Callithrix jacchus: one gene and its partners. The protein of the gene in region 5 purifies or fractionates together with the protein of the main gene of each other region. This does not show direct contact. Links are inferred from orthologs where the notes say so. Each region holds a gene or a part of one and is shown on either strand. Other genes may lie near its edges. The genes, in order: SAP130, RBBP4, SIN3B, HDAC1 and SUDS3.

The links.
Region 1: the proteins of SUDS3 (region 5) and SAP130 purify together in Homo sapiens (affinity purification with western blotting; 3 studies listed by BioGRID, with this or other methods). This does not show direct contact. The link is inferred for Callithrix jacchus from reciprocal best matches to the Homo sapiens genes SUDS3 and SAP130.
Region 2: the proteins of SUDS3 (region 5) and RBBP4 purify together in Homo sapiens (affinity purification with mass spectrometry; 5 studies listed by BioGRID and IntAct, with this or other methods). This does not show direct contact. The link is inferred for Callithrix jacchus from reciprocal best matches to the Homo sapiens genes SUDS3 and RBBP4.
Region 3: the proteins of SUDS3 (region 5) and SIN3B purify together in Homo sapiens (affinity purification with mass spectrometry; 3 studies listed by BioGRID and IntAct, counting the BioPlex papers as one, with this or other methods). This does not show direct contact. The link is inferred for Callithrix jacchus from reciprocal best matches to the Homo sapiens genes SUDS3 and SIN3B.
Region 4: the proteins of SUDS3 (region 5) and HDAC1 purify together in Homo sapiens (affinity purification with mass spectrometry; 9 studies listed by BioGRID and IntAct, counting the BioPlex papers as one, with this or other methods). This does not show direct contact. The link is inferred for Callithrix jacchus from reciprocal best matches to the Homo sapiens genes SUDS3 and HDAC1.

The regions. Positions count from the first base shown.
Region 1 is NC_133507.1:36,386,320-36,392,364, forward strand, and holds part of SAP130 (histone deacetylase complex subunit SAP130), read left to right. Parts: intron 1-4,077; coding exon 4,078-4,313; intron 4,314-5,447; coding exon 5,448-5,606; intron 5,607-6,045. UniProt on the Homo sapiens protein: Acts as a transcriptional repressor. May function in the assembly and/or enzymatic activity of the mSin3A corepressor complex or in mediating interactions between the complex and other regulatory complexes.
Region 2 is NC_133508.1:69,245,467-69,251,511, reverse strand, and holds part of RBBP4 (histone-binding protein RBBP4), read right to left. Parts: intron 3,658-6,045; coding exon 3,512-3,657; intron 1-3,511. UniProt on the Homo sapiens protein: Core histone-binding subunit that may target chromatin assembly factors, chromatin remodeling factors and histone deacetylases to their histone substrates in a manner that is regulated by nucleosomal DNA.
Region 3 is NC_133523.1:15,479,329-15,485,373, reverse strand, and holds part of SIN3B (paired amphipathic helix protein Sin3b), read right to left. Parts: intron 4,372-6,045; coding exon 4,297-4,371; intron 4,125-4,296; coding exon 3,509-4,124; intron 2,702-3,508; coding exon 2,532-2,701; intron 1-2,531.
Region 4 is NC_133508.1:68,938,134-68,944,178, forward strand, and holds part of HDAC1 (histone deacetylase 1), read left to right. Parts: intron 1-164; coding exon 165-239; intron 240-4,071; coding exon 4,072-4,210; intron 4,211-4,665; coding exon 4,666-4,807; intron 4,808-6,045. UniProt on the Homo sapiens protein: Histone deacetylase that catalyzes the deacetylation of lysine residues on the N-terminal part of the core histones (H2A, H2B, H3 and H4).
Region 5 is NC_133510.1:121,433,403-121,439,979, reverse strand, and holds the start of SUDS3 (sin3 histone deacetylase corepressor complex component SDS3), read right to left. Parts: upstream 4,511-6,577; 5' UTR 4,355-4,510; coding exon 4,213-4,354; intron 1,702-4,212; coding exon 1,632-1,701; intron 1-1,631.

The DNA of each region.
Region 1 (6,045 bases), on a different chromosome or scaffold from region 5:
TAAAATGGACGAAAGATAAACGCACTTCACTAAAGAAGATATATATGAATGGGCTGTGATCACATAAAAAGATGTTGAACATTACTAGTCATCACGGAAATGCTAAATAAAACTACAGTGAGACACGTACCACAACCCACTAGAATGGCTTTATATCAAACATGAGTAAGGAAGAGGAGCAGCTAGAACTCTTGTGTACTGCTAATGGGAACAGACAGTGCTACAACTGCTTTGGAAAGTACTTTGGCAAAGTTAAAAATGTGCTTAACCATTTTACCCAACCATTCTGCTCTATGGTGTTACTGAGGATATTCATAAAAATATTACTGAACTTTTCTTGTAAAACAGTGATGTTACTCTTTGTAATCTATTCCTCAGTAAAAAGGTTTTTATTTTTGAGGTGGAATTTCACTCTTGTTACCCAGGCTGGAGTGCAATGGCACAATCTCAGCTCACTGCAACTTCCTCCCCACCCCCAGGTTCAAGTGATTCTCCTGCCTTAGCCTCCCTAATAGCTGGGATTACAGGTGCCTCCCACCACACCCAACTAATTTTTTGTGTCTTTAGTAGAGACAGGGTTTCACTATGTTGGCCAGGCTGGTCTCAAACTCCTGACCTCAGGTGAGGCACCCACCTCAGCCTCCCAAAGTGCTGGGATTGCAGGTGTGAGCCACCATGCCCAGCGATAAAGAGGTTTTAATCACCTGGGAGAAAAGTTAATATATAGCAAAAAAGAAAATGTATATCAGTCTTTTCATCTAGCACTTGTACTTTTAGAAATTTTTTTCCTGAAGAGATCACTAGACAAGGTTGTTGCTAAAAGCAAAAATTTGGAAATAACCTAAAAGACCATTAATGATACAGTGATTTTTAAAAGCTGTTGTACAACTATACAGTAGTTTCTCATTTTACCTTTTTTTTTCCTATTTTTGAGAGGAGAGTCTTGCTCTTTCTCCCAGACTGGAGTGCTATGGCACAATCTCGGCTCACTGTAACCCCTGCCTCCCAGGTTCAAGTGATTCTTCCGCCTCAGCCTTCCGAGCAGGTGGGATTATAGGCACCAGACATCATGCCTGGCTAATTTTTGTATTTTTGTAGAGACAGGCAGAGCTAGTCTTGAACTCCTGCCCTCAGGTGATCTGCCTGCCTCAGCCTCCAAAGTGCTGGGATAATAGGCGTGAGCCACTGCGCCTGGCTCCATTTCACCTTGTGAATGATGCAGTATTCTCTACTCAGTAGTTCCACTCCTAGGCATATATTGCGTAGAAATGGTACATAGGTTCATCAAAAGACATGTACAAGAATATTATTAGCATTATTCAAAATAGGAAAAAAATGAAAACTATTTAAAATGTCTCTTAAGAGTAAAATGGATAATTTGTACATTACTCACATGTAGTACTATATACAGCATTGAGAATGAAAGAGCTACAGCTGTGTACACTAATGTGGATGAATTACATACCTGTCAGTGAAAGAGGCAAAGTACAGTTGAGTGTATTTGTTATGAGTCTGTTTATATAAAGTTCAAAAACAAGACAGTACTAATCTATAGTGTTACAAGTTAGGAGATTGGTTTCCTTGGGAGGACAGTAACTAGAATAGGGCCAAACAAAGGATCTCTGGGGGACTAATAATGTTTTCTATCTTGAGCTGGGTGCTATTTACTTAGGTATATTCAGTTTATGAAATTCCAACTTTCATATGAAAGTGCACAACTAACATTTGTGTACTTACCTTTATGAAGATCATAGTTTAAGGAAAAAATTCAAATGAATAAAAACCCACCCAGAATTTAAAAGAGGAGGGAACTGTTGCCAGAACTTTTAAGTGTTGGTGCCTTTGTGGGGTAAGCCTGGGGGCAACTTTACTTTCTTTATGGTATTTCAAATAATTTAAATTCTCTGCATAAGTAAATGCTCAGAAAAAAAGAATGTTAATATTATTTTGGAAAAATTATAGAAAAGTATGAGTTAATATTTTCACAAGGTCTTCCTTTATTACTTTATTATTCATTCTCTGATTTTTTTTCCACTTAATTTTTTTTGACTCAGAGTCTTGCTCTTGTCCCCCAGGCTGGAGGGCAGTGGCAGGATCTCCCAACCTCCGCCTCCTAGGCTCAAGCGATTCTTATGCCTCAACTTCCCGATTATCTGGGATGACAGGTGTGCACCACCACACCTGGCTATTTTTTGTATTATTAGTAGAGACAACATGGTTTCTCCATGTTGTCCAGGCTGGCCTCAAACTCCTAGCCTCAACTGGTCTCCCTGCCTTAGCCCACCAAAGTGCTGGGATTACAGGTGTGAGCCACCGTACCTAGCATCCACTTAATTTTTAAATACATAAGTAATACTTATGTAATAAATAAGTAAATACTTATGTATTTAAAAATTACTTAATTTAATTTTTAAATAGGCCAGGTGCAGTGGCTTACACCTGTAATCCCAGCACTTGGGAGGCCAGAGGCAGGAGGAACACTTATCTCAGGAATTCAAGACCATAGTGGGCAACATAGTAAAACTCCGCTCTTTGTAAAAAAAAAATGTAAAAATTAGCCAGGCGTGGTGGCATGTGCCTGTAGTCTTAGCTGCCTGGGCAGCTGAAGCAGAGGACCACTTGAGTCCAGGAGTTTGAAGCTGTAGTGAGCTGATATTCTACCACTGTTCCAGCCTGGGAGACAGAGCAAGACCCTGTCTCAAAAAAATGATTAAAAAGAAAAAATTTAAAAATTTTTAAATAGATATACGTCTTCTGGTAATCCAAAACTCCGAAAGAAAAAGAGCATACAGTGAAAAATATCTCTCCTTTTTCCCTCAGTTTTGAAAAATTACATGTTCTTAAAGTTAGAAATTGTATTCAAAATATCTTTTCTTTTTTTCTTTTTTTGAGACAGAGTCTCGCTCTGTTGCCCAGGCTGGAGTGCAGTGACACAATCTCAGCTCACTGCAACCTCTGTCTCTCAGGTTCAAGCAGTTCTCCTGTGTCCACTTCCCGCGTAGCTTAGATTACAGGCGTGTACCACCACGTCTGACTAATTTCTTTGTATTTTTCATAAAGACAGGGTTTCACCATATTGGTCAGGCTGGTCTGGAACTCCTGACCTCAAATGATCCACCCGCCTTGGCTTCCTAAAGTGCTAGGATTACAAGTGTGAGCTGCTGTGCCCAGCCCCCTACCACCTTTTCTTTTTTTTTTTTTTTTTGAAACAGAGTCTCACTGTTTCACCCAAGCTGGAGTGCAGGTAACACAATCATGGCTTGGTTCACTGCAGCCTTGACCTCCCAAGGTTAAGTGATCCTTCTCCCTATGCCTCCAAAGTAGATGGAATTACAGGTACGTGCCACCATGCACATTTAATTTTTGAATATTTTACAGAGACGGAGTCTTGCTGTATTGCCAAGGATGGTCTTGAACTCGTGGGTTCAAGGGATCTGCCTGCCTTGGCCTCTCAAAGTGTTAGGATTGTAGGTGTAAGCCACTGCACCAGCCATATATTTTAAAATTTTTTATTTTTAGACAGAGTCTTCCTCTGTCGCCCAGGCTAGAGTGTAATGACGCAATCTTGGCTCACTGCAACCTCCGCCTTTTGGGCTCAGGCGATCCTCCCACCTCAGCCTCCTAAGTAGATGGGATTACAAAAAAAGTGGGTTTTTGGGTTTTTTTTTTTTGGTATTTTTAGTAGAGATGGGGTTTTGTCATTTTGGCCAGCATAAAATATCTTTTTAATGTCAGGCTTCTATAACATTTTAAGAAGATGTTTTAAATGAAATTGTCATATCCTGTATTGTACTTTTAACTATTTCAGCTCATTTTAGCTAACTTTCAGTTAGTTTATTTGTAAGGGTATGAAAGCTACAATATCCAGAATAAATTCTATATTACACAATTGTGGCTTTTGTGTCTATAGTCCATCAGGAGAATCCAGTGCCCAAATTGGCCTTGTTAAGAAAATATCACAAGGAAATGGTCACATTGTCAATCCTGAGATTTAACTTTAGGTGCCACTCTGGTCTGTGCTGCAATCTTACTTTGGGAGACTGTGACATACTGTCTCACTCTTAATGTCTTTACTAGTCAATGATGAATCTGGTCGAGATTCTGAAGTCAGTGCCAGGGAGCACATGAGTTCTAGCAGCTCCCTCCAGTCCCGGGAAGAGAAGCAAGAGCCTGTTGTGGTAAGGCCCTATCCACAGGTGCAGATGTTGTCCACACACCATGCTGTTGCATCAGCCACACCTGTTGCGGTGACAGCCCCGCCAGCACACCTGACGCCAGCAGTGCCACTTTCATTTTCGGAGGGACTCATGAAGGTAATGGAGAGGGTTAAAACTTCATACTGAACCAGAGCTAAAGACTGGCTAATGTTTGTAACAATTTGCCCAAAATCTTAGGCTGTATCTTAGGATCATATTTCATATTTTCTTTAGGGCCTGTGAGTTCAGCTTTTCTCTGTCGCCTAGCCCTGATTTTCTGCAGTGCCTTGTCTTGTGCTGCTGAGCAGTTGGCATCACAGGATCTTTGCTGTTACCATTTTGATACTGATATTGATATTATTCAACTTACTGGCATGTTAAGTTAGATAAAATCTTGGAGAGGGACCTTCTTTTTTTTTTTTAAGCCAGTCAGATTCCGCAGTGGGAGCTTAATGACTCTAATGTTTTTCGTTTTGTTTTTGAGACGGAGTCTTTCTCTGTCATCCAGGCTAGAGTGCAGTGATGTGATCTCAGCTCACTAACCTCCACTGCCTGGGTTCAAGTAGTTCTCTTGCCTCAGCCTCCCAAGTAACTGGGATTGCAGGTGGGTGCCACTGTGCCCAGCTAATTTTTGTATTTTTAGTAGAGACAGTATTTCACCATGTTGGCCAGGCTCGTCTTGAACTCCTGGCCTCAAGTGATCTGCCCGCCTTGGCCTCCCAGAGTGCTGGGATTACAGGCGTGAGCCATTGTGTCCAGATGACACTAATGTTAATGAGTTATGATAACCCAGTACCATGGGGCCAACTGGAGTGGCACTCTTCTTTAATGTTTGTTTTAATAACTGGTTGATTTGGGGGTTTCTGAGAATATTGCCTATGCATTACCTTGGAGTTATGTTTCAGTTACTGGGAGTTTTGTTTAATCCACCCAAACTTGGGAGGCAACATCATGTAGAAGAAAGGGTGTGGGCTGTGAGCCATGCAACTCTGGGCTTTATTCCCAGTTCTACTTAACTGTGTGCATGGCTTTAAACGAGTTAGTTAGCCTTGCTTTGTATGTTTCTTCATTCGTGAAATAAAAATGCTAGTACTTCAATGGAAGCACTGTGATACAAATAGATAAAATGTGTAAAGCTTGTAGCATCTTTCCTGCCACTCTCCACATTTGATTTGTGTACTCTTAATGTGGATTGAAACGCATTACCAGTATGAGGCCATTGATATGTTTTGTGTGGTTTTCTCTTTGCAGCCACCCCCGAAGCCCACCATGCCTAGCCGTCCCATTGCTCCTGCTCCACCTTCTACCCTGTCACTTCCCCCCAAGGTTCCAGGGCAGGTTACCGTTACCATGGAGAGTAGCATCCCTCAAGCTTCAGCCATTCCTGTGGCAACAATCAGTGGACAACAGGTTTTTCTTCCTTTTAATTTGCTGATTTTCAAACTGAAATGCCAAACTGTTGATCATGATTTATTGAATGCTAGCAGTACATTAGGCACAGTAATAAAAAATTAAACAGTCACCAATACCTGCAAGGGAAAATAGTAGGTTTGAGAGAGAAGGATAACCGAAGGGAGTAGAGCCAGTATCCATAGTGGTCATTTAGCCAGGATTTATTGAGCAGCTACTGTATGCTCGGTTCGACCCTCAGTGTGATATGTAAATCTAGGTACAATAGTCTGTGTCCTTGAGGAGTCTGGAGTCCAGTTTGTGTTTGGTTTTAGTGTCAAGAACAGCCTCCTAGGAGTAGTGGTGGTCAGTGCTTCTCTGTGGTTTCTCTGAGGAGCACAGATGTGCATCTCATGGGATACTGGTAGGTTACCTCAAGCAGATCTCCAGTTGCAAACTT
Region 2 (6,045 bases), on a different chromosome or scaffold from region 5:
AAAGCAACGTAAACTGAGAATGAACCCTATTAAGTCCAACGTTGGCAAGGGCATGGAGAAACAGACATAAATACATATGCTGTTGTGGGAATGTGAATCTTTTTTTTTGGAGTACAACTTAGTAGTATCAATTATATTCAGAAATGGTCCTGCCCTTTGATCCAACATTCTACTTATAAAGCATTTCTATAGCAAAACTATGCTTTTGAAGTAAAAAAATTAGAAACCAGGACTGGTCACGGTGGCTCACGCCTGTAATCCCAGCACTTTGGGAGGCCGAGGCGAGTGGATCATGAGGTCAAGAGATTGAGACCATCCTGGTCAACACAGGTGAAACCCCGTCTCTACTAAAAATACAAAAAAAAATTAGCGGGGCATGGTGGCCCGTGCCTATAATCCCAGCTACTCAGGAGGCTGAGGCAGGAGAATTGCCTGAACCCAGGAGGCAGAGGCTGCGGTGAGCCGAGATCGCGCCATTGCACTCCAGCCTGAGTAACAAGATCGAAACTCTGTCTCAAAAAAAAAAAATTAGAAACCATCTAAATGTCAATTAAAAAGGAATGATTAATTATGGTCTACTATATAACCATCAGAATATATTACAATACATCCATTTAAGTGATCTCCAGGGGAAAGGTTTTTTTTTTTTTTGCCCAGGCTAAAGTGCAATGGTGGGATCTTGGTTCACTGCAACCTCTGCCTTCTGGGTTCAAGTGATTCTCCCACCTCAGCCTCCTGAGTAGCTGGGATTACAGGTGCGTGCCACCATGCCTAGCTAATTTTTAGTAGAGACAGGGTTTCACCATGGTGACCAGGCTAGTCTCCGACTCCTGACCTCAAGTGATCTACCCACCTTGGCCTCCCAAAATGCTGGAATTACAAGCCTGTAGCATCACACCTGGCTGGGCAAATGTTTATAAGAGAGAAGGGGTGTGTTTTTTTACTCTGTGTGTGTGTACACACATAAAATATGTTTATACACACATATATACTTTTACAATTTATCACACTATCAATCGGAGTATTTGTGCCTAATTAACACCAAGAACAAAAAAATTTGAAGACAATTTATCCTCATTTAACAGAACTGAAACTGGGCTCAGGGAGGCTAAATGATTCACCCAAAACCACAAAGCTAATAATGGTACAACTCTGGGCTGGGCACAGTGGCTCATGCCTGTAATTTCAGCACTTTGGGAGGCCAAGGTGGGTGAATCATTTCAGGTCAGGAATTCCAAGACCAGCCTAACATGATAAAACCCCACCTCTACTAAAAATACAAAAAATTAGACGGACATAGGGGTGCATGCCTGTAGTTCCCAGCTGCTATGGAAGCTGACGCAGGACAATCTCCTGAACCTAGGAGGCGGAGGTTGCAGTCAGCCGAGATCGCTCCACTGCACTCTCGCCTGGATGACAGAGCCAGATTCCATCTCAAAAAACAAAAAAACCCAAAAAACTAGTGGTACGACAGGTTCTAAAGAAGTTCAGTGTTCTCTTTCCCAGCCCACATCACAGATCGCTATATAGAGAATAACTTTCCAGAAATCACTCGGGTCACATTTGGGTCAGTGACACAAAAATCATGTTTGCTGACCTTTGTAAGAACTTATTTGGCATTCTGCATCACACTAAGCTAAATGTGGAATGACCAAAGACTAAACTGCACAATTACAATCCTGGCAAATAACTATAAACCAAAAGAATTTTGATTTAAAAATGAATTCTGCTAATCAGGAGAACCCCAATAATGGGAGCCCATCTTCTATTTTTTGACAATACTTTGGTTTAAGGATAAAGGAAACTCACCAACTTCTACCTCTTTTGAAAGAAAAAAAAATATATATATATATGTTGGGCTGGGCGTGGTGGCTCAAGCCTGTAATCCTAGCACTTTGGGAGTCCAAGGTAGGCAAATCATGAGGTCAGGAGTTTGAGACCAGCCTGACCAACATGGTGAAACCTCGTCTCTCCTAAAAATACAAATATTGGCCGGGCATGGTGGCGCATGCCTGTAATTGGCGTCTGGGATTACAGATGTCAGCCACTATGCCCAGCCTGTAGGTTAAATTTTTATACACATAGGACGTGCCATGGTTAAGTCATTTCTACCACTTTAAACCTAGAAAGGGTAATTTATGTTAATGTTTCCAAACGTTTTCTTTTTTTATTAATGCTCCTTTAAGAAGGGTTTTAAGAACTAGCCCTGGCCCATGAAATACCATGGATATCCTAGGTACTCTGTGCATATCTGTGCTTTACACAATCAACCAGTAAGATTTACATGTACTCTCACACATACACAAACCAATTTTCACCTCGTTAGGGGTAGTATCTCCCATGTTAAGAATGTACAGCAGGCTAGGCGCAGTGGCTCACATCTATAATCCCAGCACTTTGGGAGGCCGAGGTCAAGAGATTGAGACCATCCTGGTCAACATAGTGAAACCCCGTCTCTACTAAAAATACAAAAATTAGCTGGGCATGGTGGTGTGCGCCTGTAGTCCCAGCTACTCGGGAGGCTGAGGCAGGAGAACTGCTTGAACCCAGGAGGCGGAGGTTGCGGTGAGCCGAGATCGTGCCATTGCACTCCAGCCTGGGTAACAAGAGCGGAACTCTGTCTCAAAAACAAAAAAAAAAAACCGTACAGCAATATGGCTAGGTGTGGTGACTCACATCTGTAATATCAGCACTTTGGGAGGCTGAGGAGAGTGGATCACCTGAGGTCAGGAATTCCGAAACCAACCTTCTCCAACTTGGTGAAACCCCATCTCTACTAAAAATACAAAAATACACCACAAGCATGGTGGCGGGCCTCTGTAGTCCCAGCTACTCAGGAGGCTGAGGCAGAAGAATTGCTTAAACCTGGGAGGCAGAGGTTGCAGTGAGCTGAGATCACACCACTGCACTCCAACCCGGGAAACAGAGCAAGACTCTAAAAAATAAAATAAAATAAAGATGGTGCAGTGGCTCACCCAAGTTTGAGACTAGCCTGACCAACATGCTGAAACCCCATCTGTACTAAAAATAACAAAAATGAGCCAGGCGTGTTCGTGGGCACTTATAATCCCAGCTACTTGGGACACTGAACTAAAAGAATTGCTTGAACCTAGGAGATGGCGGTTGCAGTGAGCCGAGATCGTGCCATTGCATACAAGTCAGGATGACAGAGCGAGGCTCCATCTCAGGAACAAAAAACAGACAAACAAAAAACACTACCAATTAATGTACAGCAATAATATATATTTTTGCTTCTTTCAATTATAGAAATTTCCTCCGCCAGCATCAGATGAGAAAAGTTCATTGCAAAGGTATAGAACCAAGGATGTGTTAAGTATTTCTTCTGACATCTACAACTCTACCACTGCAAACTCGGGCTTTCCCCCAAGCTTAAATATTATTTCTAAAGTTGGAGATTACTTTATCAAACTAAATATATAACTTTTACAATTCAAAGACATGAAAGATATGACCCATACATGTTTACTTCCTTCACCTTTAAGATTCCTACCTCCTTTCTCACTGTCGTAGTGTGATGCATCAAACTGAGCATCATCATTAGGGAGTTGCACACTGGCTATCACAAGATGGTTTTGTTCATCCGATGTGTGTGTTCCCAGCACAAGTCGATGAATGCTGAAATCTTTCCCTTCTGGTCTGTAACAGCAATATACAGTCATTATTCAAATTAGTAACATCAAGAAAACACAAAGTCAACAATATACATGTTATGTAAAAGGGACTATTACAACCAGGACTTTTCGCCCGGGGCTGGAATGGAGTGGTGCAATCTTGGCTCACTGCAACCTCCAGCTCTTGGGTTCAAGCTGTTCTCAGCCTCAGCCTCCCAAGTAACTGGGACTACAGGCACCTGCCACACTTGGCCTCAAGTGATCCACTGACCTCAGCCTCCCAAGGTGCAGGGTTTACAGGCAAGAGCCACCATGCCTGGCCTTATTTTCTACTTAATTATTCTGGAGAAAAAGTAAAACGTTTAATGGAATAAAATATGAATTAACTACTCACTCACTACAATAGGTTAGAGGTTAAGAAAACCATTGTTGGGTATGCTAATGATTTTGTTTACTAAAACTTTCATTAAAAAGGAAAAAAGGGGAAAGGGTGTAAAGAAAATCCAAAGAAAAAAATGAAAAAAGGAAAAAGAGAAAATTAGATTAAGCAAACCAATTTTTCAGGTATTTACTAAATACCTAATCAACAGACACATTGCTCCAAATGCTATGGAAGTACAAAGATGATTAAGACATGAGTTTTGTCCTTTAAAAATCCTCAGCTGGCTAATCCCAGCTACTCAGGAGGCCAAGGCATAAGAATGGCTTGAACCCAGAAGGCAGAGGTTGCAGTGAGCGGACATCGTGCCACTGTACTACAGGCTGGGTGACAGAGAAAGAAAAGAGAGAAAGAGAAAATTAAAAAATTTGCCTAAGATCACACAGCTACTAAGTAACAGAAGCATACTGAAGTCCCAATCTGACTTTTGATATGGGAAAGCACACCGGGAGAGAAAGCCGATTAAAACTTACTTTTTAGTGTCCTGAATGCAATCTTAAGACATTCTGTACTCCATACTGGGCCAAGGGCATCCACACCATCTGGGAACTTATTAGAAATGCTAATTCTCCCATCTACTCCAGACCCATTGAATCAGAAACTCTAGAAGGCGGAGCACAACTATGTTTCACAATACTGCCAACTGATTATGATGCATATAAAATTTTGAGAACCCCTGGTAGAGATGGCAAAGACGCTACACAAGCAGAATTCATTGAGCTTTATAAATTGACTGCCTGTAAAATGGAGAAAGAGAAAATGGAAAACAAATGCCAATTAGGATAAAAAGAAATAGGAACAATATGAAGAGAAAGTTGGGGTAAGCTCTTCATGGAAGGAATTATTTCATTTACAATATGTCTAATTGGGGAAGCCAGTAAGATACATCAGGGAAGACAATAGCAAGCAGAAGAAAAATCAGGAAAAGCTCTGGAGAAGTTAGGTCTAAAGATACCAACAGGAATTCTGCACAGATGTGACAAGCAAAGCTTTGAGAACATCTACCATACACTGAAAAAACAGAAGTGATTGTTTCCTATGATCCGTGAAATAAATTTAAAGAGAAATGAAAAAAAAAAAAAGAGAAATGAAAAGAGGGATATGAACAGCAAATTGGAATTACCTGCATATAGAAGGCTAGAAAAAGAACAGGAAGAATGAAGGAGAGGACAACGCTACAGAACTACAATTGTAGTTTTTCTTTTTTTTTTTTTTTAAGGGGGAAATGGATATGAATAAACACCAGAAAAAGAACACACAAAGTAAACACTGCATCAGAGCTGCTTGCTTGTAATTTGTAACCCTCATCTTAAAACACAAAAATAGGGCCAGGCACTGTGGCTCATACTTGTAATCCCAGCACTTGGGGAGGTCAAAGTGGAAGGATCATTAAAGCCCAGAAGTTAAAGAACTGTCTGGGCAACACAGCAAACATTTTTTTCAAAATTTAGCCAGGCATGGTAGTGTGTGCCTGTAGTCCCAACTATTCCAGAGGCTAAGGCAGGGGGATCCCTTGGCCTAGGAGGTCAAGGCTGCAGGGAACTCTAATTGTGTCACTGCAACCCAGTCTGGACCACAGAACAAGGTCCTGTCTTTTTTTTTTTTTTTTTTTTTGAGACGGAGTTTCGCTCTTGTTACCCAGGCTGGAGTGCAATGGCGCGATCTTGGCTCACCGCAACCTCTGCCTCCTGGGTTCAGGCAATTCTCCTGCCTCAGCCTCCTGAATAGCTGGGCAGCTACTTGGGCAGGTTAATTGCTTGAACCCAGGAGGCAGAGGTTACAGTGAGCTGAGATCATGTCCCTACACTCCAGCCTGGGAACAAGAGCCTCCATCTCAAAGAAACAATTCTCATTATCTGGATTTGCTAAAGCAAAAAACTAAGATGATAGTACAGATTTCAGCCTTGGGGAATTAAGTATTTAATTCTTGCTTTCTAAACCTAGCTAGTCTTTCTATTTTTTTTATTTTTATTT
Region 3 (6,045 bases), on a different chromosome or scaffold from region 5:
CCCACAGAGGGAGTTGGCAAAGGCCAGAAACACCTCAGGCTGGAGAGTGCGTGACACGGGATGAACACCAGGATCCTGACAGGTTGTGTGCAGACCAAACAGACCAGGCCAAACAGACCAGCCCAGGCCAACATGAGACCAGCTCAGAAGAGACCAGACCAGCAAACCCTCCCTGGGTATGAGAAACACATGGAGACATGGACAAAAATGTGCCCAAGCAAACCAAGGAATGACGTGAAGGGGGTGTCAGTGTAGGCCATTCCTTTCCCCCAAATGCTTGGCTATAAACACCCTGCCACTCCTTTTACCTTTGCGCTGAAGGAGAAAGTAATGGAGACAGCAGGGGCTGTGGGGCAGACAGGGCTGGTGTGAGCCCGCCTGCACAGCCTGGGCCCTGGGCAGGACCACACTCCCTGCAGGTTCCACGTGCAGCTTTCTTGAATGGATACAATCACACCTGGGCAGGCACAGGTTTCAGACAGTAACTGGCACACAGCAGGTACCCACTGAATGTCAGTTGCTACTGCTAAAAACACAGCAATGCTGATTTTTAAGAAAAAGTGAGGCAGAGTCCAGACATGGTCCCAAGGCAGGTTACGAACAGTGTGGTGGGGCCTGCAGTGAGCACCTGGGTTGTGGTGTGGCCACAGATGGGACAGCAGGGCAGCGTGAGGCCCTGACGACAGATCTAGACAGCCAGCGATTTTCATTGCTTTTTAACAGGTTCTAGAGAAGAGGTTTATGGAAGGGGAGGATTTTTCAAAGCATTCTAGATCAATGCTTTCCATAAACCATCTGGTCCAATCTCCTGGTGCCACAGCAAAGCTGCTGTCCCTGAACCCGTGGCCCATCAGGGGTGCCCAGCCTGGGGGACAGAGTGCCAGCCCTCTGGCATCCCTGCACTGCTGCCCTGACACCATGTGCTGGGCCCTGGGTGTCCTCTCTCCAGGCTGCTCCGTGTGCATCTCCCTCACCCGGAAGTGGCCACTGCTGTGGATGGTGATGGGCACACAGAGGGAAAGTGGAGGGGGCTGAAGCGAAGGTATCAGGACGCAGCTGTGGGTTTCTCTAAGTCCTGTGGCCAGAGACAGAACGGGGATCATTCCTGGGAATCCTTGGCCAGTTCATCTCAACACAGGAATCTCATCGAATGATACTCCCAGGATGCAGCTGGGCACTGTGTGCTTCAAGACCAGGGATCTACCTCTGTGCAGAAATCAGGGTTGTGATGCCCGGCGTGGTGGCTCATGCCTGTAATCCCAGCACTTTGGGAGGCCAAGGCAGGAGGATCATCTGAGGTCAGTTCAAAACCAGCCTGGCCAACATGGCAAAATCCCATCTCTACTAAAACCACAAAAATTAGCCAAGCGTGGTGGCACACGCCTGTAATCCCAGCTACTTAGGAGGCTGAGGCAAGAGCATCGCTTGAACCAAGGAGGTGGAGGTTGCTGTGAGCTGAGACTGCACCACTGCACTGTCTAGCAACAGAGCAAGACTCCGTCTCAAAAAAAAAAAAATTAGGGTTATTGGTGTCCACAGGTGGCAGGTGGCTGGGTAGGGACACAGGGGCAGGGGTTCTGTTGATGAAAGCCCATCCATCTGCCCCCTTCAGATTTGGGGACTTTTCTGCGTGTGATTTTTAGTTCCATAAGCAGTCTTTAAAACCGGGAAGGAAGCATCTTGTGTGAAATGCTTCTCGTGACTGTGTCTAAGTGGGAGAGTAATGGCATTAGTTTTTTTCCAGCTTTTTTCCCGCTTTATGATGAACAGCCTTACTTGGTGACCAGGAAACAGAAGTCACCACGAACAATGCTGCTGGCAGAAACCAAGCAGGACCCATGTCCTGGAACGACACCCAGCTCGCCTGGGACGTCTGCTGTTTCTATCCAGGTGACTGGTTTCCTTGTGGTGACATTCAGCAGGGGCTGGTTTTTGCTACTGCTAAAGCCAACGCTGGTGAGCAGCGCTATTCCCACCCTCGCCCAGGATAAGTGCGTTAAGGTTTTTCCATGTTGTCCATTTACCCTCAAAAGTTTGTCAACAGGGACTCAGAAGAACTTGCACACAAATGTTCAGAGCAGCACTGTTCACCGTCTCTGCAGGCAGCCATAGGCCAGATGGTCACCAAGAGATGGAGAAACGAAACGCAGCCAGCCATGCAACAGAGTATCACAGAGCCATAGAAAGGAATGAACGCAGTGCGCAGGAAACCGCGAGGCAGGAAGCAGATCACTGGATGTCGGGGCTCGGGGTGGGGGAAAGGGGAGTGGCTGCTACTGGGGACTGGGTCTCCTCCGGGAAAGATGAGATGTTCTGGAACTAGACAGAGGTGGAGACTGCACAATATTGTGAATGTACTAAATGTTACCAAACTGGACACTTCAAAATGGTTCATTTTACGTTATGAGAATTTTGTCTCAAGAAATCAGGACAGGTTTACTGTTGACCACGGGCCCCCTCCCGGCAAGGGAGTGAAATGACATGGCAGGGCCATGTGCAGCGTCCTGAGTGTCGGCCCCGCCCCGGCTCACCTGCCGCGCGATGTTCTGTACCAGCTTGTCCATGGTGAAGCCCACATAGGCATGGATGGTGAACATCTCACGCAGGGTGTCCTCGTACTGCGTGGGGTCGATGCTGCCCTCCAGCAGGCTCCGTACCATGTCCAGGAAGGCTGGGTAGTACTCCTCCAGCTCCACTTCACCTGTGGAGACACATGGTTTTATCCACATGCCTCCCAGGGGGGCGAGAAGCCATACAGACCAAGCTGTGACACCACAGCACCCCAACAAATGCCCCCCTGGGGCCCAGCAACCTTCACCCATGACCCCTGGGGCCAGGCTGGGCATCAGCAGGAAACCCGAGTAACGTGTTCACCGCCACCCTTCCTGAGGCTGCCTAATCTGACTGGCAACCCAGGGATGGCAGTGAAAGTGCTGTGGAGGCCAGGCACGGTACCTCATGCCTGTAATCCCAGCACTTTGGAAGGCCAAGGCAGGTGAATCACCTGAGGTTAGGGCTTCGAGACCAGCCTGGCCAACATGTGAAATCCTGTCTCTATTAAAAATACAAAAAATTGGCTGGGTGTGCTGGCACATGCCTGTAATTCCAGCTACTATGGAGGCTGAGGCAGGAGAATCGCTTGAACCTGGGAGGTGAGGTTACAGTGAGCCGAGAGCATGCTACTGTACTCCAGCTTGGGAAACATATCAAGAATCCATCTCAGAAAAAAAAATGTGCTGTGGAGCTTGGCTGTGACGGCTCTACGGGAAGGGCTGTGAGACACACAGCTTTCCTGGTAAGGAAAGGGTGCTAAACCCAGGATAGGAGCCTGGGCAAGGGGTTCACAAGACCTGTCTGATGCTGGCAGCTTCCTGTTTGCAATTTCCCATTTGAAATCACAGAATTCTTAAAATGAAAAGCCAGAAAGAAACAGGACGTGTGGGATGATGAGCTGTGATCCCAAACCCCAGGCACCCCCAGGGCCTTCCAGGAGGCCCTGGATCCTTACTGGGCTGCTTCAGCCGCAGCTCCATGGCGGGGTCGCTGCCCTTTTCCCTGCGGCCCTCGCAGAGCAGCTTCTCCCGCTCCTTCTCGGTCCGATACTCCAGGAGCTGCTTCTGTGCCTGGCGGTAGATCTTCAGCAGCCTGGAGCACAGGGTCTGGTGCAGGCGCAGGAAGAAGTACCAGTTGTTGTTGGCGAAGAAGAGGCTATAGACATCATCCAGGGCCTTGTGCAGAGGTGGGGGTGGCGGGGGCGGCTGCTCGGCGGCCGGGGAATCCCCGAAGGCCCCCTTCTCCTCCGGGGGGCTGCTATGCGGTCCTGGCGCTGGCTTCTTCCGTTCGCTGGGTTCTGTGCTCTGCCCTTGGGAGCTGTCCCGGTCCTCGTCGGCTGACTCCTCGGAAGCGCCCAGGTCCAGCTGCTGGGAGAAGAAGAGGCTGGGCACGAACTGGTGCAACAGCTGGTGGATGGTGCCCTGGTCCTCCTTCTGGATGGCCGGCTGCCGCTTCACGTAGTAGCTGATGAGTGCTGCTGCGTCCTCCAGGATCTGCCGGTCCTCGTACACGAAGATAAGGTGTGGCTCACTGGAGGGGGCACTGCGGGCCTCCGAGTGCTGCTCCTGGTGCTGTGGGGGACAGGATGGCCATTAGGCAGGAAGCCACCCAGCACCCAGAGGACCCCCATGCCCTTCGTGAGTTGCTGTGAGATAGGCCACCAAGGTGGATGAGCGCTGCCCAGAGAGGGGTGGGTGAGCAGCGTCAGTGAGGCAGCAGGGCCTGGGGGCGCGGGGCGCTTGCCTCAGTCTCTTGTGCAGTGCCATGTGCTCCTGATCCCCTCTCCAAAAGCAGGGACGCCAGGCAAAGGAGAGGATTCTGAGACGGGAGGGGAGAGGTCAGAGGGGGTCTGGCAGCATCAAGCCTGGGTCTGTCACTCAGCCCGACTCCAAGACAGATCAGGGCCCCATGGCTCAGCACGGAGAAGCCTCTAAGGCAGACCTCCTACTACTGACAAGAACGGCAGCGCCTGATTCCAGCCTGACCATGGCTGCCCATACCACGCTGTTGATGAGGTCAAGGAGGTGCAGAGTGAGCCTTGACCTCAAGCCTCTGCCCTCCATCTACTCCCCGGGAGGTATGCAACTCTCACATCTGAAGCCCCACACGCCCATCGTCACCAAGCCCGTCTCCAACGCTGTCACCTGCCATCCCCTGCATGTGCTCGCTACCACCATCCTTCCACCAGCCCTCCCACCACCCTGCTCCAACCGCTCTCCTCACCAGGTCCTGGGCAGTTTGGCCAACAGGAGCAAGGTCGCCCTGACTAATGGTCCCCAGGCTGCTCAGAAGATGCCGGGCCCTGGCGCACCCCTCCGAAGCACCTTTGGCCTTACAGCCCTCAAGCTCCTTCCTGCAATGTTCGGGGCGTCGAGCTCCTCCTGCATGTGCAGGGCCTTTGCACATGCCCATCTGCTCTCACTCCCTGGAAAACCCCATCCCAGGCTTACCCCTCCCTCAGGCTCACCTCTCCCCTTGGTCTTTATCCAAATCGTGACTTTCATTCCCTCACAGCGGAAGACAATCACTCCTTCCTCCAGCCTGCCACGCCACTGTGCTGGGCGGTCCCAACCCCTCAGCACCAGGCAGGGAGGCAGACGCACCGGGGCTCTTAAGGAAAGTGAGTGTGGATGCTGTCTCTGCCGGCGGGGAGCTCCCGAGGGCAGCACTGGGTCTTCCAGCAGCCTGAGGCTTCCCTTCCTCCTCCCCTGCAGGGCAGCGTAGAGGCCAAGCACACTGGGCTGGTTCCTAGGAGTCTGCACACTCAGCTCCGCTCTGGGCTATTCAGTGGGGCCTCTGGCCTCTGACTGCTTCCTAAGTCCCCCAGGTCTCATTTATGCCATAAACACTTTCAAAATTCCTTTACAGTCCCCTCTGAAGCAGGGTCCCCATGTCTGTGGTCCGTAACTGTGCTTTGTAAACTGCATGATGGAATGGGGGTCTGAAGAACTTGGGGTTGCATCAGTGGATTTCCAGAGCCACTTCATCACCTACACTTTGCAGATGCCACAGACTCACAGAACGTAGGCAGGGTCTCAGGGTTGAGGATCCGCGGAGGGCTAGTGAGGAAGCCAGAGTGGCTGTGGGGTGGGCCTGCGGCGAGGGCAGCCCATAGGGAGGGAGGTGGAAGAGAAGGGGGTCTCCACAGTCCCACAGGCTGTGGGAGAGGCCTCAGGCCAGCAGCCCGGTTCCTGTGGCTTCTGTTTCTGCATTGCAAAAGGAGGAGCTACCACTCATTGTGCAGTGACAGCAAGAAGAAACCGAATTGGGTGAGGTGATGCCCCTACTCAGGTGGGCACGAGGCTGACAATGCAGCTCCCACTGTGATCTGGGCACTGCCCAGGGAGCACCACCCCTCCCCAGCCACCTTCTCAGAGCGCCCAAGGACCTTCCCGACAGCTGGCTGCCACCATGTCCAGCACCCTGCCAAGCTTCCCACCTCAGGCTCTGAAGGCATGGCTGCTAACAACCCAGCTCCTGGCAACCTGTGGG
Region 4 (6,045 bases), on a different chromosome or scaffold from region 5:
CTCAAAGATGTTAAACAACTTGGTGCAGTCATACAGTCAGTAAGTAGTAGAGCCTGGACTAAAACCCAAGCCTCCTGAATTTAAAGTCTGTTTTTTTCCATCAGGTCATAATACACAAACTAAAGGAAATTGCAGAAACTAACCTTTTGCTTATTTCTTTCAAGTCAACGTTGGTGAGGACTGTCCAGTATTCGATGGCCTGTTTGAGTTCTGTCAGTTGTCTACTGGTGGTTCTGTGGGTAAGGAATATTCATCCTCTCCCCTGGGATAGACTGGGTTGTTCTAGTGAGGTCTGCCTTTTAGGGTGCTATCCTAGTTGGCTAATCTGAAACCATGTAGAATGGTCCTGTGGGTTTTTACTTAAGTCTCTAAAATGGCTGGTACAGTATCTCACACCTGTAATCCCAGCACTTTGAGAGGCTGAGGTAGGAGGATTGCTTGAGGCTAAGAGTTCAAGACCAGCCTAGGCAACATAGTGAGACCCTCGTTTCTACAAAAAAAAAAAAAAACTAAATAAAACCAATTCGCCAAGCACGGTGGCTTGTGCCTGTAGTCCCAGGAGGCTAAGGTAGGAGAATGGCTTAAACCCAGTAGGTTGAGCCTGCAGTGAGTCATGATCATAACACTCTATTCTAGCTTGGGCAACAGAGCAAGACCCTGTCTCAAAAACAAAAAAAAAGAGTTGGCCGGGTGCGGTGGCTCACGCCTGTAATCCCAGCGCTTTGGGAGGCGAGGTGGGTGGATCACGAGGTCAAGAGATTGAGACCATCCTGGTCAACATGGTGAAACCCCGTCTCTACTAAAAATACAAAAATTAGCTGGGCATGGCGGTGCATACCTGTAGTCCCAGCTACTTGGGCGGCTGAGGCAGGAGAATTGCTTGAACCCAGAAGGCAGAGGCTGTGGTGAGCCAAGATCGTGCCATTGCACTCCAGTCTGGCAGTCTGGGTAACAAGAGTGAAACTCCGTCTCAAAAAAAAAAAAAAGTTTAAAAAGTCTAAAATGTCCTTCTGGTTCAGTCCCAGCCCAGGTTCAATCTCTGACATGGTACTGACAGGTGTCCTTGACTGTCCTCTCCTGCTAAAATATCTTATATACAGGAGTTCTCTGCAGAATCTCCTGGGGTTATTGAGATGCTGTACATAAAAGCAATTTGTGAACTGCAAAGTGCTATAAAAACGGAAGTGTCATCATCTGTGAATCTGTCCTATGAAAAAGTATGGTAATTACCTTTAGAGGTCAGAAATACTCCCCACATATCTCCCACTTCCATTTGCAACTTTTGGGTTATCTGTAGGATTATGATAAACCCTTTCTTAACAAATATTTATTTCCCTGTGATCCCCCCCCAATATAATCATTGTGTATACCCCCACTGCCCCACCAGTATAATCACAGAAAACAAAGAAAAATTGCACAGAAAAAAGCATAGTCACCCACAGTCACAGGGTTGGTGGATAACTTCTGTTACCATTTTGGTGTTTGTACGGTCATTCTTTTTTGTGTGTGTATATATCTGTGTAACACATAGAAACATGTATATATTATAAAAATGAGTTATATACATATCACAAATACATGGTTTTATGCCTGCATTTCCTACTTAACGAAATTGTCTATAGTTTTCTACAGCTTGCTTTCTTGTGGCTCTATGATTATTCCATGTTGTAGATCTACTTGAGTTGATATAATCTCTCCCTCTTCGTGATCATTTGGATCAATCTATGCTTGTATTGCTGTTAAAATTAACACAGCAGCTGGACATGGTGGCTCATGCCTGTAATTCCAGTGCTTTGGGAGGTGGAGGCGGGTGGATCACCTGCGGTCAGGAGTTTGAGACCAGCCTGGTCAACATGGTGAAACCCTGTATTTACTAAAAATAGAAAAATTGTTGGGCATGGTGGCTCATGCCTGTAATCCCATAACTTTGGGAGGCCAAGGCAGGCGGATCATGAGGTCAGGAGTTTGAGATCAGCTTGACTAACATGGTGATACCCCGTGTCTACTAAAAAATACAAAAATTAGCCGGGTATGATGGCACACACCTTTAATCCCAGCCACTCAGGAGGCTGAGGCAGAAGAATTGCTTGAACCCAGGAGGTGGAGGTTGCAGTGAGCCGAGATCACACTATTGCACTCCAGCCGAGCCACAAAGCGAGACTGTTGTCTAAAAAAAAAAAAAAAAAAAATAGCCAGGTGTGGTGCCACATGCCTCTAATCCCAGCTACTTGGTAAACTGAGGCAGGAGAATCACTTGAACCTGGGAGACAGAGGTTGCAGTGAGCCGAGATTGCACTATTGCACTCCAATGCACTTGCACACATGAGTGTGTATTTCTCTTTTACTTCTTCTTGGACCTATCTGTGGTAATGCTGTTTGACCCAGTGTCCTGGCACTGTCTTTGGTATTTTTTCTTTTTCTTTTTTTGAGATGACGTCTTCCTCTGTCATCCAGGTTGGAGTGCAGTGATGCAGTCTTGGCTCACTGCAACCTCTTCCTCCTGGGTTCAAGTGATTCTCCTGCCTCAGCCTCCCTGAGTATCTGGGACTACAGTGGCATGCCACCACGCCCAGTTAATTTTTTTGTATTTTTAGTAGAGACGAGGTTTTATCATGTTGGCCAGGCTGGTCTCAAACTCTTGACCTCAGATGATCTGCTTGCCTCAGCCTCCCAAAGTGCTGGAATGCCACTATGCCCAGCCTATCTTTGGTATTTTTTGAAGTTCCTTGACCATAAGCCACAGTAAGAAATAAACTTACACATGCAATCCAGGATACGTATAACACATAGGCGTGCATGTACACAGTCCCTTACTCTGAAGCCAGAGTTTTACCAACGAGCAGTTACCTTTACTGTTACCCTGATTTTTTTTTTTTAGATGGAGTCTTGCTCTTGTTGCCCATGCTGGAGTGCAATGGCGCAATCTCGGCTCACCACAACCTCTGCCTCCTGGGTTCAAGTGATTCTCCTGCCTCAGCCTCCTGAGTAGCTGGGATTATAGGTGCCCACCAACACGCCCGGCTAATTTTTTGTATTTTTAGTAGAGACGGGGTTTTACTATGTTGGTCAGGCTAGTCACGAATTCCTGACCTCAGGCGATCTACCTGCCTCGGTCTCCCAAAGTGCTGGGATTACAGGCATGAGCCACCGCGCCTGGCCTACCCTGCTATTTTTATTCTACAGTATTTCATTAAAAATATGACTAATAAGTCATGACCCACTAAATCAGCTTTAAGTCTTGCTAATGGGTTACTTTTTTTTTTTTTGGAGACAGAGTTTCGCTCTTGTTACCCAGGCTGGAGTGCAATGGCGCAATCTCGGTTCACCACAACCTCCGCCTCCTGGGTTCAGGCAATTCTCCTGCCTCAGCCTCCTGAGTAGCTGGGATTACAGGCACACACCACCATGCCCAGCTAAGTTTTTGTATTTTTAGTAGAGACGGGGTTTCACCATGTTGACCAGCATGGTCTCGATCTCTTGACCTCGTGATCCACCCGCCTCAGCCTCCCAAAGTGCTGGGATTACAGGCTTGAGCTACCGCGCCCGGCTGCTAATGGGTTACTACCATCAGTTTGGAAAATAGTTTTTTAAGAGTAACCAATATCAGGCCGGGCGCAGTGGCTCACGCCTGTAATCCCAGCACTTTGGGAGGCTGAGGCGGGTGGATCACGAGGTCAAGAGATGGAGACCATCCTGGTCAACATGGTGAAACCCCGTCTCTCCTAAAAATACAAAAAATTAGCTGGGCATGGTGGCGCGTGCCTGTAATCCCAGCTACTCAGGAGGCTGAGGCAGGAGAATTGCCTGAACCCAGGAGGCGGAGGTTGCGGTGAGCCGAGATCGCGCCATTGCACTCTAGCCTGGGTAACAAGAGCGAAACTCCGTCTCAAAAAAGAAGAGTAACCAGTATCATGTTTATTTCCTGCTGGAGTAGAATGGGAGGGAGGGGACTGATTTATTAATATAGCTGTTGATTAGGCAGGTCCTACCTCTCACTGGGTTCCCTGGGCTACCTGGAGGAAGGGGAGAGTGGCTTAGTAACGGGCTTATGTTCTCTCTTTCCATGCCTAGCAAGTGCTGTGAAACTTAATAAGCAGCAGACGGACATCGCTGTGAATTGGGCTGGGGGCCTGCACCATGCAAAGAAGTCCGAGGCATCTGGCTTCTGTTACGTCAATGATATTGTCTTGGCCATCCTGGAACTGCTAAAGTATGCCTGCCTGGCCTTGTCTCTTGGAGGAGCACCTTAGGCCAGGTTCCCATTTCCCTCTCCCCTGGGCTTGCCTCCCTAGTTTGCTTTCTACCAATGTGCTGGCTAGGATGTGATTGGTGAGTGTCTCTGGCCATCACCTCCTTAACGGGGTCTTGGTTTGATCTGAGCCACGGCATGATCAGGGGCAGGTACTGCTCAGATCCTGCCTCCAGAGTGTCCCTGTGTGGCTGGAGTTGACCCTGGCTGTAGAGTAGGAAGATTGGACTTGGTCGGCTTGGTCAGGCCTCTGGAGACACCCGGCCGCTCTTCCACCTTCCTTCAGCCAGTTTCCACGTCTCTGGTGCTTAGAGATACCTGAGGGAGGCAGCCAGCCCGGTAAGCTGGGACCTGGCGCCCTTGGCGCGTCCCATCCCCAAAGAGCCCCCAGACCCCTGACCCCCTTCTGATCCTAGGTATCACCAGAGGGTGCTGTATATTGACATTGATATTCACCATGGCGACGGTGTGGAAGAGGCCTTCTATACTACAGACCGGGTCATGACTGTGTCCTTTCATAAGTATGGAGAGTACTTCCCAGGAACTGGGGACCTACGGGTGAGAAATCCCTTTAGGAGCCAACCAGCTCACCCTCAGCTGCCAGCTCTACTTCTCTCTCCTATGTCGTGCCACTAAAAACTGCTTCCTGCCTCTTCTGCCATTCACAATACTATGTCCCAGTCTGAGGCACTTGCCCTGATCTCTTTCCCTTCCTTCTTCTGGAGGAAGGGAATGATGGGACATGAAGGGTTAGAGAAAGGAGCGGGGTCTCCTGACTCACTGTACTTCCCTCCTGGCCATGCTAGGTTGCATCACACTATTCTTATGTCTCATAAGGCTTGAGTTTGGGACTAGGAATTAGGACTCTGAAGAACCATCTCAGATGTTCTTAATGTTTTTTTATGTCACTTTCCCCTTTAGCCTTTTGACTGAAAGCTATGGACTCTCTCTCCAGAAAAGTACATGCAATTTTACATCTGATATGGAATAGTTAATAAACAAGTCCCCTTGCTGAAGCCCATCCATGAACCTTAGGATAAGAATCCGTGGAAACTACTTCCTTGAACTGTTCCATCTGCTTCTATTAGCATGAATGCAGTGAAATCAGCTGTTTGCCATGCCCAGTGACCCTTGGGTAAAAAAGTGGCACTAATTCAGTTGTTTGCTATGGCAAGCATTAGAATAAATGAACATTCACTTTTTTTTTTTTTTTTTTGAGACAGAATCTTGCTCTGTTGCTCAGGCTGGAGTACAGCGGTGTGATCTTGGCTCACTGCAGCCTCTGCCTCCCTTCTCCTGGGTACAAGCAATTCTTATGCCTCAGCCTGAGAATAGCTGGGATTATAGGTGCATGCCACTATGCCTGGCTAATTTTTGTAGTTTTAGTAGAGATGGAGTTTTACCATGTTGGCCAGGCTGGTCTTGAACTCCTGACCTCAAGTTATCCACCCACCTTGGCCTCCCAAAGTGCTAGAATTACAGGCACATTCACTATTTCGAGGTTCCTGGGAAGGACTTTCTTCTCTCTCCTTCCCTCCACACCACCCTAGAGAGGGAGCATGGGGGAAGAGGAGTGAGCATTAGGGCTCTCTGGAGTGGAAAGGGTTGTCAGGGGTGGTTGTTACTTCTGTGGCCCACCTGCCAGCCAGCCCTAACCCAATCCCAAGGTAGAAATCTTGTGCCACAGGGTAGGGTATTCAGTCTCTACGCCCATCAGTAGCTCTCAGCCTAGGTGTAGGCTTAATGCTATGTCTAGAGATGTGAGCTAGATTGGTGAGTGAAGAGAATGGTACTCA
Region 5 (6,577 bases):
AAAATAAAAAAGTAATCCATCTTTATTCAGCACTAGTTAGACCTAGCTGAATTACCCCTTCGAGTTCCAAAGCACAAAAACAATGAGAGAATCCAGAGGATGGCCACCAAACATTTGCAAAAAATAAAAGGAAAAGAATGTGGATCATCTTGTTAAAAGGTAAAGAACTTTAAAAACCTAACACATTCAACAAATATGTATTAAATATATTTTATACTGTCTTCCAACTGGGTATATGCTAAGAGTGAGTGGGATTTTCATTTCTCTGGATCTGTTCAACTGTGGCTCTGTCTGTAGACAATGAGAAGGCTTAGGTGAGAACACGTGCAAACATGGACAGAGCATTGGCCTAACAGTCAGCAGCCAGCTGGGTATAGTGGATCACTGGTAATCCCAACACTTTGGGAGGTCAAGGCAGGTATATCACCTGAGGTCAGGAGTTCAAGACAAACCTGGCCAACATGGTGAAACACCCTCTCTACTAAAAATACAAAAATTAGCCAAGTGTGGTGGCACATGCCTATAATCCCAGCTACTCAGGAGGCTGAAGCAGAATTGCTTGAACCTGGGAGGCAGAGGTCACAGTGAGCAGAGATCACATCACTGCACTCCAGCCTAGGCGACAGAGTGAGACTCCATATCAAAAAAAATTTTTCTTCTAAATTAAATAAATAAATAAGAGTCAGCAGCCCTGCTTTTCAATCATGGCTTCTCTGAGCTCTCTAGGCCTCTGGCACCTTGTCTAGCATGTTAGTGCAGTGAGTTCACACTTAGCTGAGAACCCAGTTGCTTCAAGACACTAATTACCATCTCTGTCCACTGGTTTTCCCATTAAAAAATAAAAATAAAAGGCCAAGCATGGTGGCTCACGCCTGTAATCCTAGCACTCTGGGAGGCCAAGGTAGGCAGATCATAAGCTCAGGAGTTCAAGACCAGCCTGACCAGTATGGTGAAATCCTGTCTCTACTAAAAATACAAAAATTAGCTGGGTGTGGTGACACACACGTGTAATCCCAGCTACTCAGGAGTTTGAGGCAGGAGAATGGCTTGAACTTGTGAGGCAAAGGTTGCAGGGAGCAGAGATCATTCCACTGCACTCCAGCCTGGTACCACAGCAAGACTCCATCTCAAAAAATAAAATAAAATAAAATAAAGGAGTAAGTGGTAAAAGGTCCTCTCCTGTTGTACGACACCATTCCCTCCCCTGTGTCTGTTTCCCTCAAGATTTTTTCTAGAGGGTACTCAACAGAGTCTTATAACGTGAAGACCGATTAAATGTAATTAACTTAAAATGGAGAACTGCAAATACACAAGGTCTTTGAAAGCGCTTTGGTCAAAACCATACAGGTAAGGTCACTGCAGATTAAGTATCCCTTATCTAAAATGCTTAGGAACAGAAGTATTTTGGATTTTTTCAAATTTTGGATTTGCAATGTACTTACCAGCTGAGCACCCCAAATCCAAAAATCTGAAATCCGAAACAGTGCAATGAGCATTTCCTTTGAGCATCATGCTGGTACTCAGAAAGTTCTGGATTTTGAAGCATTTGAGATTTCAGATTTCGGATGCTCAACCCATATGAAGACTTTGTCCACTCTGTTCCAGAAAAGATCCAGAAAAATCATACTCACTGTTCCTTCATTTCTACATAGTCTTCTTCATCATGCTTTGCCAGGTCAGTTTCACTAGCATCCTCAGTGTCTGAATAAAGTTAGGAAAGAGAGACTAGTTAAAACCATAATTCACAGAGTTTGTGTCACCTGACACAGAACGTGCACTCAATACACTCCCGTAAAATCAATTTATGTTCAATGCAGGCCTACAAAAAGCCATCAATGAAAAACATCACATACAGTTAGTTCGCCATCCCTATCTGCAGATGTGAAACCTGTGGACACAGAAGGGCAATGCAAAGAATTTGAGCATCCTCAGATGTGGTATCCATAAAGTCCTGGAACCAATCCCCCATGGATACCGAGGGACAGCCGTATTTCAGAAAAGAAAAAGCCATTTCCAACTTATGGTCAGATTTACGCAAAAAGCTTGCCTTTAATGCCTGTAATTCCAGCACTTTAGAAGGCCAAAGCAGGATCACTTGAGGCCAAGAGTTCGAGACCAGCCTGGCCAACATGGCGAAACCCTGTCTCTACTAAAAACACAAAATTTAGAGCCAGGCACGGTGGCTTACGCCTGTAATCCCAACACTTTGGGAGGCAGAGGCAGGTAGATCATCTAATGTCGGGAGTTTGAGACCAGCCTGATCAACATGAAAAAACCCTGTCTCTTCTTAAGAGACAAAAAATCAGCTGGGCGTGGTGGTGCACGCCTGTAATGCCAGCTACTCGGGAAGCTGAGGCAAGAGAATCGCTTGAACCTGGGAGGTGGAGACTGCAGTGAGCTGAGATGGCAGCTTCCAGCCTGAGCAACAAGAGCGAAACTCCATCTCGAAAACAAACAAACAAAACAAATTAGCCAGATGTGTGGCAGGTGCCTGTAATCCCAGCTACTTGGGAGGCTGAAGCAGGAGAACTGCTTGAACCCAGGAGACGGAGGTTTCAGTGAGCTGAGATCGCGACACTGCACTCCAGCCTGGGTGACAGAGACTCCATCTCAAAAAAAAAAAGATTACCTACAATATCTAATAAAATGTATAGTGTTTAGGAATAACAGAAAAAATCTGCACATGTTCAGTACAGATCCAGCTTTTTTTCCTGAATATTTTTGAGCTGCACTTGGTTCAATTCACAGATGCAGAAACCACAGACATGGAGAACCAACTATACAATAAAAAAGGGGAATCTGTCACAAATAATTGAAATATTTTCCAAGTGACAAGGGAAAAAGAAGGCGTCCAGATGATCAAACAAAAACTGTTTCAAAACATCTTAAACGTTGTTCTTAAAACAAGCTAATGGCTGGAGTGTCTACAAAATTTCAATAGCCCCTATAGCAGAAAGGAAAAAACTCAATTTTGGTTCCGCTTCTCCCCCTCGTGGGCATGCGATGCAGTGCAAGTGCTTCACAGTCGAAATCTCTCTAAGCAGTGTCTTCCGATGGAGTTAAACCTAATGCAGTTCCTTCAACTTTATATGTCACGTATCTGCAGCTTTTGTAAGGCTGCTGCAGATCCAAATCCCCACAAACTCTTCTCCTCTCTTTCAGTCAAGAGGCCTTCCCTGAGTTCCCGCCAGCCACATTACTTGGCACTCAGAGACTCAGATGAATAAAACATATGCCCCATTCCAAACAGCTGGTCTAGCTTTTGCTCCACGGCCCGATTTTGCCCCAGAATATTCGACTCATATATCGGTCTCTATCCCCTCTTTCTTCTCCCTTGACTTTTCACAATTCATCATCTTCCTCCTCCTCCATCCCTCCAAAATAGTGTTCCTCACACTTGCCAAATTATAAAGCCCAGTTTGAAAAGCAAGACTCGAGACGCTGTAATGACAGTGTAAAGAGCACCGACTGAAAACATAACACCTGGGTACCATTAAGCAAATCCCTCTCTCTCACCTGTTTCGGGGGGGTGGGAGATGGGGAGAACATTTACTGCACAAGGCCAAGCAATTTATGCGCATGTCATTTAATCCTTATACCGACCCTAGAAAGTGCTTTCCAGTGCAAGCGTGGGAATTAAACAGCTCCATTACAGCTGAGTAAATCGAGGCTGCAAAGCGTAAGTTTACAAACCGAGTAAAGTGACAGAGCAAAATTCAAACCTGTATCTCGCTGGTTCTAGGTCCCTTTCCTTTTTTAACCAACCTGAGTTCTCAAGCCTGTACCACCTAAAGTATAGCTTACGCATTTCGGGGGGGGGAGAGGGGCAACTTAGGACTCTGATGCTCTCAGACACAAAAAAGGGGTGAACTACACTCGGTGCATTCAATAGATGAGTTTCCCATTCCCACTAGTGAAGATCTGAGGTTCAATCAGAGACGGCTGGGAGGGAGGACAGGGTCTTAAAGAGACCCCCAGAGTGACAACATGTAAGTCCCTTCTCCCCATCACAGTCGAGTGTAACGCACTCAAGGTTTCCCCCGTTAATCTAGCATGGATGGGGGTAACTTCCCCGAGCCCCGCAACTCCCAGCGGCCCCTCCACGCAGCCCCAGGCCCCGGAGGCCGCCCCGCCCCTCTTCCAAGCAGCCCCACCCCCTCCCCAAGCGGTCCCACCTCTGCTCCGGACGGCCCGGCGAGCTGCAGAACTCACCTTCGTCCGAGTCACGGCCTCGACAGCTGCGCTCGTCGTCCTCGGCGCTCTCCAGCTCTTCGTCCTCCTCGGGGTAGTACTCGGGGGCCGGCGGCGCTCCAGCCGGGGCCGGGGCCGGGGCCAGCAGACCGGCGGCACTCATGTCGCCTCTGACCGCGGCTAAGCGTGGCCCAGGGACACCGCGGCCACCCGCGCTGGGCACTCGCCGTCTGTCTAGCAGCGTCCGACCGAGCCCCCAACTGGAGGAGCGGGAGCCGCGGCGACCCCTTCCCCGTCTCCACCGAGCTCCGCCCCCCGCGCCCGCGCTCGGCAACGGGGGCCTCGCGCCTCGGGCGACTTCCGGGTCGAGAGCTGCCCGACGACGGCCTGACTCCGCCATTCTTGGGAAAGTGAAGAAGCCGCTGGACGCCCCGGTCGCCACAACCTCAACCCTTTCATCGCCGTCTTAAAATTCTCAACGTATAGTGGGGGAGGGGCGGGGGCAGGTTCTCTAGAGTCAGGCAAATCCTCGGGCAGGCCCAGCAGCGGTCAGGACCCCGAGGCTCGCCGGCGACTTACGGAAACAGCCGCCAGGCGGCGTCTGGAGCCAGAACTAAAGCGGCGATCGTTAGCGACTTAGGGGAGGAGGGTTTGAAGGGCCCTTGGCAGGTGGAGGTGGTCTCTAATTTAAGCAGTGGAACTACGCGAACTGCCCCCTAATTAGGTCGGGAAACCTAGACATCCAGAGTGTGCGTGGTCATGCAGCCTGGCTCCTCCTCTGACTATTTGGAGCATTATTAAGGGCTAAAAGACACGGATGATACGCCATCCTGGGGTTAGCAAAACAGCATTTTCTCAGTCCTTGGGAATCCTTTCTGTTTGTGTAAGGTTTATACGATAGGATGTTCCCCCAGTTTTACAAGAGAGAAATGAACTGTCATTTGCCTTAAAAAAAAATAGTAACGTCCAGTCTGACGTTTTAGACTCCAATACCCAGGCCCTTCACGATACAGCTTCCTTGAATATTCATTTTTTTAAAGATGTTTTTGCCTAATCCAACAGCTTGCTCTGAACTCTCAACTGAGGAAGGGGAGAATTTGCCTACCAGATGTAATTTGGCTAAGTAAGGCCCATGCGAAAGCTTAAAAAACAAAAGAGTTGCGTATCTGCAAGAATGAATTTGTGTGATTCCGAGTAGAAGAGGGACACGTTATAAGTTTTGCTGAGCGAATAGATAGATTTAAGGTGTCCCTTTAAGAGCAGTGTGGTCTAGTTGTGTGCAGCGAGAAAAAAAAAAAAGTTTTTTTAATGGTTTCTCCAAAGTAGCCCCACTTTTATGTTCCATCTGAGTCTCCATAGGAAACGCAACCGATAGTGAAAATGAACACAGATGTGAAAAATAGGGTGGAACCAAAATATTCCCATTCTCAGACCTTTTGTGATCAAATTTATCTCTGAATTGGCCTCCATGGACTCTTCTAAAAATGAAACGTTATTCTCATCCCATTTATTTTGACATTTACTTACTACCTTGTTTTAATTAAAATATTGGCTCTATTTGTAAGGGATTTTTTTCTCCCAGCAAAACTAAAGAATTTCCAGAATGGAATCCTAAGATGTCTTTCCAGGAGTTCCAAGATCTTCTGAAGCGCCTTCTAAATAAGAGTCACTCTCAGATCTCACCGTAGGTCTGCCATCTATATTTAAACTTAGGATTTCAGAACTGTCTCCTGTCCAAAAGATGAAGTCATTTTCTTTCTTTGTGCTGTTGGGTCACATCTAAATTATTTGCAATCAAATATATTGAGTAACTTTCGTGCCTGTCTGGAGAATAATCATAGTGCAGAAAAAGCAAAGATTTTAGAAATCAGAGTTCATTTATATAATTTTAAAGTTTATTTCATTGCTAAATGGTTTCAAGACGCTGAGATTTTTATCATGCTTGTTTTATTTCTATCTTCTTGACTGCAAACAGCATCAATGGTGATGCATTTCTTTTTTATTGTAATGAATAGACTCAACTGAGCACTTGGGTGATGAAAACTTACCCCATTTTTTAAATCCAGATTGCCAGCTGCAGAACTCAAAAATGCTCTTTAGTGAAGGTGGACCTACTCAAAAAAATTCTCTTAATGGCTTTAGTCTTACCCAACCTTATAGAGTTGTTTAATATGATTTTGGACAGTCGCTATAATCCTGTAAAAATCAAGTACAAAACCATGTTTTACCACCTCGAAATCTTTTTCTATATCCCTTCTCAAAATGGTACTCAGCCACACCACTCAGGAAACACCTCCTTCAGAACTCGACTTGACTTGAAGTCATGCCAGCTCCATTTCCACAACTTCTTTGCTTCTAGGCCTTCTCTGCCTACCCTAACACCCAA